3 linked regions of the Macaca mulatta genome follow. The protein of the gene in region 1 purifies or fractionates together with the protein of each later gene. This does not show direct contact. Links are inferred from orthologs where the notes say so. Each region holds a gene or a part of one and is shown on either strand. Other genes may lie near its edges. The genes, in order: TBC1D15, UBXN8 and UBAC2.

Region 1 (3,654 bases):
TTGACTTGATACTAGGTTGTTAATTGACTTATTCAACAGATCTTTCGTCTTTGACTACTTACTGACTCTTCTAGCACTGAGGATATAGCTGTGAACAAGATAAAGTTCCTGTTCTCATGAAGCTTTTATTCTAGTAGAAGGCTTAGAATATTTGTTTGTTAGGGTTTTAAATTATTTCTTTGTCAGAGCTTTAAATGTGGAAATGTGTGAGACATTTTCTTTTGTATGTAATATATGTTTCTTCTGTTAATGAGGGAAAAATCTATTAAAAAAACCTTTATTCTTGAATATGCACAAACTTCTAATAATTCATATAGCATACATATAGTGTTTAATATACTTCATATGATTTTCTTGCAATAATTTAGATAAAATCCTCTGTGCCGTTGAATAATTTAATTTAAAAAATTGTCTATATGTAGTTTTTTGGGTTTCTTTTTTTTCTTCTTTTTCCCATTGCTGTTTTTCTGTGAAATATTTTTGGTCTTTGCAGATAAGCTAGCAGTATGTATCTGTTCTAGGTAGTCTAAGTACATTCACACTTAAATGATTCATGAGTAAGTTGAAATTCTAGAACTGTTCTCACTTAGGTATCAGCTTGAAGTGGTCTTATGAGCTCTATAATATAAACACCAGTGAAACATTATGTAAAGTAGTCAAGTGGACACATGGCACTTAATCTAGTGTATCTTACATGTGAGTTCACTGTCCAGACTGGTGTGAAAGCTGCTAGTCATTGTATATAGATAAGTCACTTTAGCTTCCTTCAAATGATACTTGTTTAAGTGTCCATGAAATAATGATGACACATGGTTTCCTTGCAGATAGAGGTTCTGTAAGCTGTAGATTTCTTTTTATGAGTTCAAGAGATCTTATTGGAGATGATTGCAGATAGGAAGGTGATACATACATGCAGGTCAACACTGGTTAATATGTCTTCTGATCTAGTCTAGTAAGCAGCTTCCTTCTAAGTAGTTTATCTTTGTGGGATTGGTAGTGTGGGACAGAAATAATAAAGATCTTGAATAGCAGGATAGTATGATACTTCTTAAGAAATAACATTTTAGGAAAGAAATTTCAGAGACACAGCTTACTTATGTTGGAGTTAAATTGTTAAAATGGTGTTTTACATTAGAAGTGAATTGTAAGTACTAGCATCATTAGTGAGAATAAATTTTTTTTCTCTTTCAGTTTTTTTTTTTATAAATAGTTGATGTTTAAGTTGCTTGTTATCAATTATGATAATGTTCGCAAACCTGGAATTTTAGCTTCTATAACGAGGCCACAAACTCAGAACATGCTGTATTTTACATAACTATAATTTGGTTTGAACTGAGGTCTTGATGTAGTAGAAAGTTAATTTAGCAATTGATTCATTATTTTTGAAGCATTCAAAACTTTTTATCTTTTCATCCTCAATTTCTTGCTGTACTTTGTTTTTCTGCAAATAGAGTGTTGTATATTCACTCCAGTGTTATTTTTTATATCAGTATGCTTACTTCACTACTAAGTGTAGTGTCCTAAAAATAATTACAAAAGGAAATGAAGGAATAAAGGTTTTGTTTTGTTTTGTTTTGTTTTTTTGACTCTTCAAGAGAATTAAGCTATTCTTATTTTGGGGGGAGTAGAAAAGATGAACATTTACTGAGAATTTTCTGTATACTTGGCTTGTACTAGTTAGTTGAAAAGTATTATCTCCTAATTCTTATTAATAGAATTACAATGGGAGGTAAGTATAATTATCTCCATTTTACAAACAAAGTAACTGAGGCTCAGAGACATTCAATTATTTGCCCCATGTCATTCAGTTAGTAAGATGGTAGTACTGCAATATGAATCCAGTCCACCTGCTTGCAAAGCCATGATCAGTTTTTTTGGTCAAAGCTTATATTTTACATAGGAATAACATTTAAAAAATTTATATGTGGTAGGATAATTATTTTAAAAATCATTTTTTAAAAGAACATATAAGTTGCCATATCTAATACAGGTGGAAGCCATAATAATATGAGTGCTGTACTGATTCCCTGGGTTCAACTAATTTATGTTATGCAGTCATGGAGAGCACTGTCAGTACCTTTTAAAAAGGTGAACAAAAATATTTTGCCCCACTCTCTTGTTTTTAAGATGCTCCAAGTCATAGAAATGGGAAAAGCAAATGGTCATTCCTGTTCAGTTTGACAGACCTGAAATCAATCAAGCAAAACAAAGAGGGTATGGGCTGGTCGTATTTGGTATTCTGTCTAAAGGATGACGTCGTTCTCCCTGCTCTACACTTTCATCAAGGAGATAGCAAACTACTGATTGAATCTCTTGAAAAATATGTGGTATTGTGTGAGTAAGTATCGTATTATTTTCTACTTATTGAAACTGGATCATTGTATTAATCCCAAAGCGAACTATTTTTACTTGACCTTGGGCATCAGTGACCTATGTGCATATGAGGACATGAACAGCTTTGTTTTTTCTGGGATATTGATTTATTTGGAATAACGACTGAATCATACTGTGTTATTTTAGTAATTTGAATCTGAGACTTACCACCTAATTACTGTTACAAAGAAAAGAGTAGTTTAATATTTTTTCTACATTTAAATGAATGATAATGCGTTAGTAATTAATGGCCTATATATTTACCTAATTTACCCTTTATTTTGTATTTTCTACTAAATATACAGTTATACTTGTGATGTTGCAACTTTAAGTCAGGCAAGTCCTACGTCCTTTATAAAATTATTTCTCAGTTGGACGATAGGGCCTTACCACTTTCCAGAAATCTTGTCTCTCATTTAGTTACCTGTGTGCATCTGTACATACACATGCTTCCTCACTCTTACTCTCAGCAAATATTTTTTGGGTATCTATTACATCCCAACACTGTGGTAGATGCTTCATATTTACTAGTAAAACAGGGGTGTTCCTGGGTCTCAGAGAATTCATAGTCTGGCAATTAAAACTGAGGAACTAAGATGAAAGAAGTGTCAGCTGCTTTGGGAGTTCCTGGGAAAGAATGAGGGGCACTTAATTGAAACTGGGAGTAGGGATCAAGGAAGACTTCCTGGAGGAAGAAGCATCTAAGTAGAGACCTGAAAAATGAGTGACCATTATAAGGAAAGAGAAGGAGATATTTAGAGGGAAGCATGTTTTACAAGGGAAGAGTACAAACATGATGTAATCACACAGCAAATTAATTCAGTATTACAGGTCTGCAAAGTATGAGGAGGGGAGGGTAATACAGTTAAAGATGGGGCCAAAGAGCTGAGTGAAGTCCAAAGCACAAAGCATCTTTTGGGTCATGTTAGCAGGTTCTTCCAGTTATCCAGGTGAGATTAAAGTGACCTGAACTGGGATAGTGACAGGAAAGATGGAAGTATTGCAGTATTAGATTATAGGATTAGATTTTATGATGGATTGGATGTATGGAGGTGAGAAGGGAGAAGTTGAGGTTTTGGGCTTGGGAGAACTGCAGGGAATGATTGCTAACTTTGTTTGTTTGTTTGTTTATGATGGAGTCTCACTCTGTCACCCAGGCTGGAGTGCGGTGGTGTGATTTTGGCTCACTGCAACCTGCGTCTCCTGGGTTCAGACAATTCTCCCACCTCAGCCTCCTGAGCAGCTGGGATTACAGGCATGTGCCACCAGGCTCAGCTAATT
Region 2 (3,654 bases), on another chromosome or scaffold:
TTTTCCTGCCTCAGCCTCCCAAGTAGCTGGGACTACAGGTACCCGCCACCACTCCCGGCTAATCTTTTGTATTTTTAGTCGAGACAGGGTTTCACCGTGTTAGCCAGGATGGTCTTGATCTCTTGACCTCGTGATCTGCCCACCTCAGCTTCCCAAAGTGCTGGGATTACAGGCGTGAGCCACCACACCCGACCAACACGATATTTTCACAATTTTATTTCTAGTTATGTAATTTTCTCTATATGGGAAACTACAACTTATACATTACTGATATTCATATTTTTAGTGTAGCTGATTGCTCTAATTATAACTGTATTCCCAAGATAGTGTTTATTCTAGAATTATGCTCTGTACATTTGTTCTGGAAATGACAACCATTATGAGTTTTTTAATGCCCAAAGGAGAACACAGTAAGCCCTCTGTATCCGTGAGTTCCACATCCGAGGATTTAAGCACCTGTGGATTGAGACTATTCAGAAAGGGCTGGGTGTGGTGTCTCACTCCTACAATCCCAGGACCTTGGGAGGCTGAGGCGAGCAGATTGCCTGAGTTCAGGAGTTCAAGACCAGACTGTACCACATGGCGAGACCCTACAAAAAATACAGAAATTAGCCGGGTGTGGTGGTGCGTGCCTGTAGTCCCAGCTACTTGGCGGGGCTAAGGCAGGAGGATCATTTGAGCCCCAGGAGGTTGAGGCTGCAGTGAGCCGTGTTCTCACCACTACACTCCAGCAGCCTGGGTGGCAGAGCAAGACCAAGAAGAGCAACACACTGTCTCTTAAAGAAGGAAAGAAAAGAAAATATTCAGAAAAAAAATGGGGTAAATGAATGTTTGTCTGTCTGTCCCGACCATGTACAGACTTTTTTCCCTGTCCATAAACAGTAAAGTATAGCAACTATTTATAGAGCCTTTACGCTGTATTGGGTAGTATATGAGTAATCTATAGATGATTTAAAGTATGTAGGAGCATAGACTATATGCGAACACTATGCCATTTTATATCAGGTACTTGAACATCCGTGGATTTTGGTATACTCAGGAGTCCTGGAACCAATACCCCATGCATACTAAGGGATGACTATATATGAACAAAATCATAAGACAGTTATATAACTTTACTTTCCCAGTACAGATAATCTTCTAATGTGTTATAATTTATTAGGAGTATCAAGAAAACTGTTTTGGGTTGGGCATGTTGGCTCACGCCTATTATCCTAGCTAGCACTTTGGGAGGCCAAGGCAGGAGGATCACTTGAGCTCAGGAGTTTGAGACCAGCCTAGTCAACATAGTGAGACCTCGTCTCTTAAAACAAAAAGTTTTGAATTTTAATTTTTTTTTTTCCTTCGTCAGGAATCAAGGATTTTCTTTTGCTTTGTGGCCGGATTTTCTTACTGCTTGCTCTTCTTACTTTAATTATTTCTGTGACTACCTCATGGCTTAACTCATTTAAATCTTCCCAAGTTTATCTGAAGGGTAAGTTTATTATTTATGCTACCCTTTTATGCCATTCTACTCAAATTTCTTTCCTTTATTTATTCTAGAACTTTGCACAGTAAGAACCATTTTACTATTAATTTGTGATGTGTAGTTTCAGGGAGAGTAATCATCACAACTTTAGTCATGATTTTGTGTGTGGTTTTTAAAAATTAGTGATGATGGCTTTGCATGGACTATATCCCAACATTTTTATGAGAAATTGTACATTTTTCTCATATATATGTGTTTTTAAGCTATATCATTTCTAAGTTGTTATATGGTAAATTCCCTAATTTTAAATTGTGTGTTTGTGTTGCTTAACTGCCGTTTGATACCTACAGTTTATGAGCTGTTCTACCGAGTGAAAGTATCTATCATTAACCTTTTTTTTTTTTTTGGAGATGGAGTCTCGCTCTGTCACCAGCTGGAGTGCAGTGGCGCAATCTTGGCTCACTGCAACCTCCGCCTCCTGGGTTCAAGCGATTCTCCTGTCTCAGCCTCCCGAGTAGCTGGGACTACAGGCATGCACCACCATGCCTAGCTAAATGTTGTATTTTTAGTAGAGATGGGGCTTCACCATGTTTGCCAGGATGGTCTTGATCTCTTGACCTCGTGATCCGCCCGCCTCAGCCTCCCGAAGTTGGGATCACAGGCATGAGACAGCACGCCCTGCCGATCTACCATTAATCTTGAAAGGCTTTTCATCCTAATTTTTTGTTCCATTCTAGCAGTTTTTACTTAGACACCTTTGTCTTTTATATGTAAATGTTTTTAATTTTAGGAAATCATGCTTGCTTTTGGTTTTTAAATTTGAGACAGAGTCTCGCTCTGTCACCCAGGCTGGAATGCAGTGGCATGATCTTGGCTCACTGCAGCCTCCTCCTCCCAGGCTCAAGTGATCCTCTTGCCTCAGCTTCCCAAGTAGTTGGGACTACAGGTGTGTACCACTGCATCTGGCTAATTTTTGTAGTTTTTGTAGAGGTGGGATTTCGCCATGTAGCCCAGGCTGGTCTCTAGCTCCTGAGCTCAAGTGATCCACCTGCCTCAGTCACCCAAAATGCTGAGATTGCAGGCTTGACCACTTCGCCTAGCCTGTTTCATTTTTGATAAGCAAAAGTTTGTGAGTCCTAGAAGCCTTTTAAAATAATATTGTACTTAGCCTCAGAATCTTAAAACCAAAAACTACATATTTTCTATGCTACTAGGAAGAAGCTTGTCATTAGTGAATTTGGTACATTGTGTTTTCACTGTTTATTTAAATGTAAGTAAATAAAAGGAAAGTGACCAGTGTTGAATGTATAGCCCTTTCAAATTAACTATGAATAAAACCATAATCCTAAAAGGTTATATTATTCAACCCAAACATAAATGACAGTGTGATATTTTAGGGTCTCCCAACCATAGACTTCAGATTTTTTTTCTTTCTTTTGATAAATTATTTGATTGGTTATACTTCAAATGAGATATTTGGGAAGTAAAAAGCACTTTCATGTTTTGATGTCTTAGAAGAAGAAGAAAAGAATGAGAAAAGACAAAAACTTGTGAGAAAAAAACAACAAGAGGCACAAGGAGAGAAGGTAAGCCAGAATTTTTAGAGACTTTATGCATAGAGAAATACAAAAATCTCTGAGGCAATTAAAAATAAGGTCTGTTGCTTCTGTGTTTGTGCTAAGATTTAAAAAATATATATTGAGGTCAAATTCATGTGACATAAACTTGACCATTTTATGTTACTTGTTTTTGAAATGGAGTCTCACTCTGTCACCTAGGCTGGAAAGCAGTGGTGAGATCTTGGCTCACTGCAATCTCCACCTCCCAGGTTCAAGCGATTCTCCCGCCGCAGCCTCCCAAGTAGCTAGGATTACAGGCATGCACCACCACACCCAGCTAATTTTTGTATTTTTAGTAGAGACGTGGTTTCGCCATATTGGCCAGGCTGGTCTTAAACTCCTGACCTCAGGTGATCCGCCTGCCTTGGCCTTCCAAAATGCTGGGATTACAGACATGAGTCACTGTGCCCAGCCACAATTGACCAGGCTGTTCAGTGACATTTAGTACATTCACAAGGTTGTACAACTACCACCTCTGTTCCATCTCCCATGAAGAAAACCGTATACTCTTTAAACAGTCACTCCCCACTTTCCCCTCCTCCCATCCTCTGGCAACTACCAGTCTGC
Region 3 (3,654 bases), on another chromosome or scaffold:
TAAAAAACAATTTTGTTTTACTGAGTAAATTCAGTTTTGTGTTGATTTGTACTGCTTAGTGTTCTGTGGTAGAGGATTTTGCTTATTGCCTAACACGCTGTGACTAAGAAGAACACTATGTGCAGTGTTTGGAGGCTGCTGATTTTTGTGTCATGTACATTTTTTAAAATGATACTACATTTAATCAATCACATTGGACGTTTTTCTTTTAGATGTCCGGTCTGTGCTACAACAGCAAAATGTTCCAGGTGCATCAGGTGCTCTGCATCCCCAGCTGGATGGCAAAATTCTTTTCTTGGACACTTGAACCCATCTTCTCTTCTTCAGAACCCACCAGCGAAGCCAGAATTGGGATGGGAGCCACGCTAGACATCCAGAGACAGCAGAGGATGGAGCTGCTGGACCGGCAGCTGATGTTCTCTCAGTTTGCACAAGGGAGGCGACAGAGACAGCAGCAGGTAAAAGTGATAATAATCACTAAAAATTTAGAAATTCTCAGTGGCCCCAGCAAATCTTTCCTCTGTGATTGCATGTGAGATAGAGACTACATTTTATTCCAGTGCCTTGCAAGCGGATTTTGACATTTCCAAAGAGAATGTAGGTCTCTGTTAGTGGCGATTCTTAGTTTTTTAAGAAGGTAAAAAATAAATTGTAGCTGAAAGATTGGTCAAACTGGACATTCTTTTTCCACCTATATTAGATAAGCATGACTTCTTAGAGAAACACCAACCTAGTTAACAAGATGTGCTATTTATCTGTTTTTATAATCTTGTAAAAGCCACAGTGTCTTCCTGTTAAAATGCTAATCATATGCCATGGAGTGAAGAACAAATGTAAAACTTCTTGATTTTCCTTAATTGAAATGAAGAGAATATGAAGGTAATAAGATTTTCAATGGAACAACCAAGGAGTAGATTTAAAAAATGCTGTGTTTTCTCAACCTTGCTATCAATAATCAGAAACTATTGCACATTTGTCTACAAATACTGCATCCAAACAATCTGATACCACACTTGTCTTCCATGGGCAGCGAAGGAAGGAGGGTTAGTGCACATCAGGCTAAAACCTCAGGCCTGATCTTTCTAGGACACTTCTGTGAGCCAGCCTACAGGGCTCCCCATTTTTCGCCTCTACCTTCTTTACCCCTGGGGTAGTTGTAAACCATACTTACCTCTGCCATCTCTCTGTCTCCCACTAGCATTAGATGCAAGAAGTAGGTCTGCAGATCTCACGATGGTTTGGAGAAGTGAAATCAGGTTTGAGGTCCTTAGAGTCTCATTGGAGATGCAGGTCCCAGAGTTTATATTGGGATGGGAGGAAGGGGGCACCTTATCAGGTGCAGAGTCTACAAGAGAAAGAGAGAAGCAGAAGTTGTTTCTTAAAGATGTGCTTGAATTTGAGTGACTCTGGAACATGCCATAAAGATGCTCATGATGTATTTAAAGCTGGAGGATGGACATCTCTGTCTTGGAGATGTGGAAGCTACATATATATGTAGGCGATGGAGTCACCTCTGTAGGGGTGAGAGCTGAGAGCCGAAAGCAAAGAACTAGTAAGTTCTGTAAGAGAAGAACTACATCCAAGGTGAACACAGGCTACAGATGAAGCCTTGTATTTAGCAGGAGGTAAATCCTACAAGGAAACAGAGAAGAGCGAAAGGTATGAGAACTCAGAATGATCAAGGTCAGAAAAACTGAGTAGTGATTGAGTATAAAGGTAGAGGCAAAGAGCTTATGAGGGGGTGTTCTGATGTTTCTGGCCTAGATAATCTTGAAGATAGAGGACTGATAGTTCCATTTCACCAATATCAAAAGAGCAGATTTGGGGGAAATATGTTGTCTGAGATACCTTGGGAGTCCTGGGAGGAGATTCTCCATTGGAGAGCTTTGAATTTGTACTCATAAGCAAACCAGAGAAGCTGCATTTCTCAGATTGGCCTCCTCAGGAAGATTTTTATACAAGGAGTTTAAGAGCGAACACTGTCAGCATACAGTCACATCGCAGGATTAAGGCTTCAGTGTGTGAATATGGGGCAGGGGCAAGGGGTGGGGGACAGTGTGTTCCATAACGCTGCAGGGTGGAAAGGGCCCAGCATCGTCTCGGTGCTGCGTGACTGTTCTGCTTGCGGACGGTGGTTATCCGGTGCATGCAGTCTCTGTGGGTGCCAGGTTGGATGCTCCATAGTGGCAGGAGATAGGTCGGTCTGGGTGAGGGGACCGCACATTCCTCTGTGCCGCCACTGTGGCCGTCCATTCGTGTGCCAGCACTGGGTTATCTGGCGATGGAGCCACGGCCATTCTGCCCACCTTCCACTTGGTGCCTTTTCGGTGGTGGATGCCCGTGGTGGGCACTACCTGCAAAACACTTGATGCTGCTGTTCCTCTAGCTGGGTCCTCCTTGTGCCCTTCCTTCCAGTCCCCTGACCGGCCAACCAGGTGATCTGCCATGCCCAGCAGATCCACACGTGTGATTGCCTCAGGCCACTTCTCTTTCCACTCAGAGTTGGTGACCAAATGTGCTGCCCGGGCTCTGCCCATAGGGGTTCCCCTGATCATTGTCTTTCAAGATCGAGCCATCATGCAGCCGTTTCCTCCAGCTGCCACTCATGTCCTGAGCCAGCCTATCCATTTGGCTGTTTTCCCCTCTGTCACTTGGTCATGAGGGGCCCAACCGCTGTGGCAGTCGGTGTTAGCTGGGAAGAGGCTGTGGTGCAGCAGAGGTGGCTGCCAGGGTGGTCTGGCATGTCTGCTTCTGCAGCTCACCCATGCCCTGCAGCCCCACTCATGCTGAGCCCAGATGCCCATGTCCATCTGGTGACGGGTTTCTGTCGGCCCGCCTGGCTTGGTAACGTGGTGGGTCTCCACTGCTGACCACATGCTCACGTTACGGCCTATGGACAGGCACTTCGTGGTGCAGCAGTAGTTTATACAAGTGGGATTCTTGGCTGCGTGCGCACACCCTCGCTCCAGGACCCTATGGACCCACATTATGGTTCTCCTTTCCTGCCTTGCCGTAAACTCCGCACGGTGTCTTTCCCCACCCCAGATACTTGGAACATCATGGGATCTACCAGCTTGCACCCAGGCCTCAGGGAATGAGACAGACCCAAATCCCTGCCCTGCTGGAGCGTGCATTCCCACCAGGCGCCTGTGAAGTGGCACGGGCCTTTATGGCTGTTTGTACTGCTGTCAGACTCCTCCACTTTCATAGGATGGTCTCACCAACAGGTCTGAAGTCCAGAGCAGGACACCAGCCCTTGGGCCTTTGCCGGGCTTTTACATTGAGTGGTCTGCTGGGCAGCACAGACCAGACTTGATTTTTTGCTAAGCTTACTTCTAGGGTCTGCACATGGATACACCCAAAACTCAGTGCTTAGACTCCTGCTGAACTTCTTCACTCAGCTGTGTCTCAGTGTTATTCACATAAGTGTGATAAATCACCACGTAGAGAACTCTTGTTAAACCACCACTGGGAATTATCTGCCGTGTTTGTGTGCATGCACGAGTACTGTACAGGGTGCAGTTGTATCGGAATGTAATACCAGGGGAAGAGTTTATTTTGATTTTCGTTTACTTTTCAACAAATAAGTACTTAGTGCTTATTATATGCTAGGCCTAGGGCTGGACATTGAGGACACAGGTATAAGAAAGATAG

Evidence for each region.
Region 2: the proteins of TBC1D15 (region 1) and UBXN8 purify together in Homo sapiens (affinity purification with mass spectrometry; 3 studies listed by BioGRID and IntAct, counting the BioPlex papers as one, with this or other methods). This does not show direct contact. The link is inferred for Macaca mulatta from reciprocal best matches to the Homo sapiens genes TBC1D15 and UBXN8.
Region 3: the proteins of TBC1D15 (region 1) and UBAC2 purify together in Homo sapiens (affinity purification with mass spectrometry; 3 studies listed by BioGRID and IntAct, counting the BioPlex papers as one, with this or other methods). This does not show direct contact. The link is inferred for Macaca mulatta from reciprocal best matches to the Homo sapiens genes TBC1D15 and UBAC2.

The regions. Positions count from the first base shown.
Region 1 is NC_133416.1:79,038,777-79,042,430, forward strand, and holds part of TBC1D15 (TBC1 domain family member 15), read left to right. Parts: intron 1-2,127; coding exon 2,128-2,338; intron 2,339-3,654. UniProt on the Homo sapiens protein: Acts as a GTPase activating protein for RAB7A. Does not act on RAB4, RAB5 or RAB6.
Region 2 is NC_133413.1:32,539,867-32,543,520, forward strand, and holds part of UBXN8 (UBX domain-containing protein 8), read left to right. Parts: intron 1-1,351; coding exon 1,352-1,474; intron 1,475-2,983; coding exon 2,984-3,054; intron 3,055-3,654. UniProt on the Homo sapiens protein: Involved in endoplasmic reticulum-associated degradation (ERAD) for misfolded lumenal proteins, possibly by tethering VCP to the endoplasmic reticulum membrane. May play a role in reproduction.
Region 3 is NC_133422.1:94,050,802-94,054,455, forward strand, and holds part of UBAC2 (ubiquitin-associated domain-containing protein 2), read left to right. Parts: intron 1-212; coding exon 213-458; intron 459-3,654. UniProt on the Homo sapiens protein: Restricts trafficking of FAF2 from the endoplasmic reticulum to lipid droplets.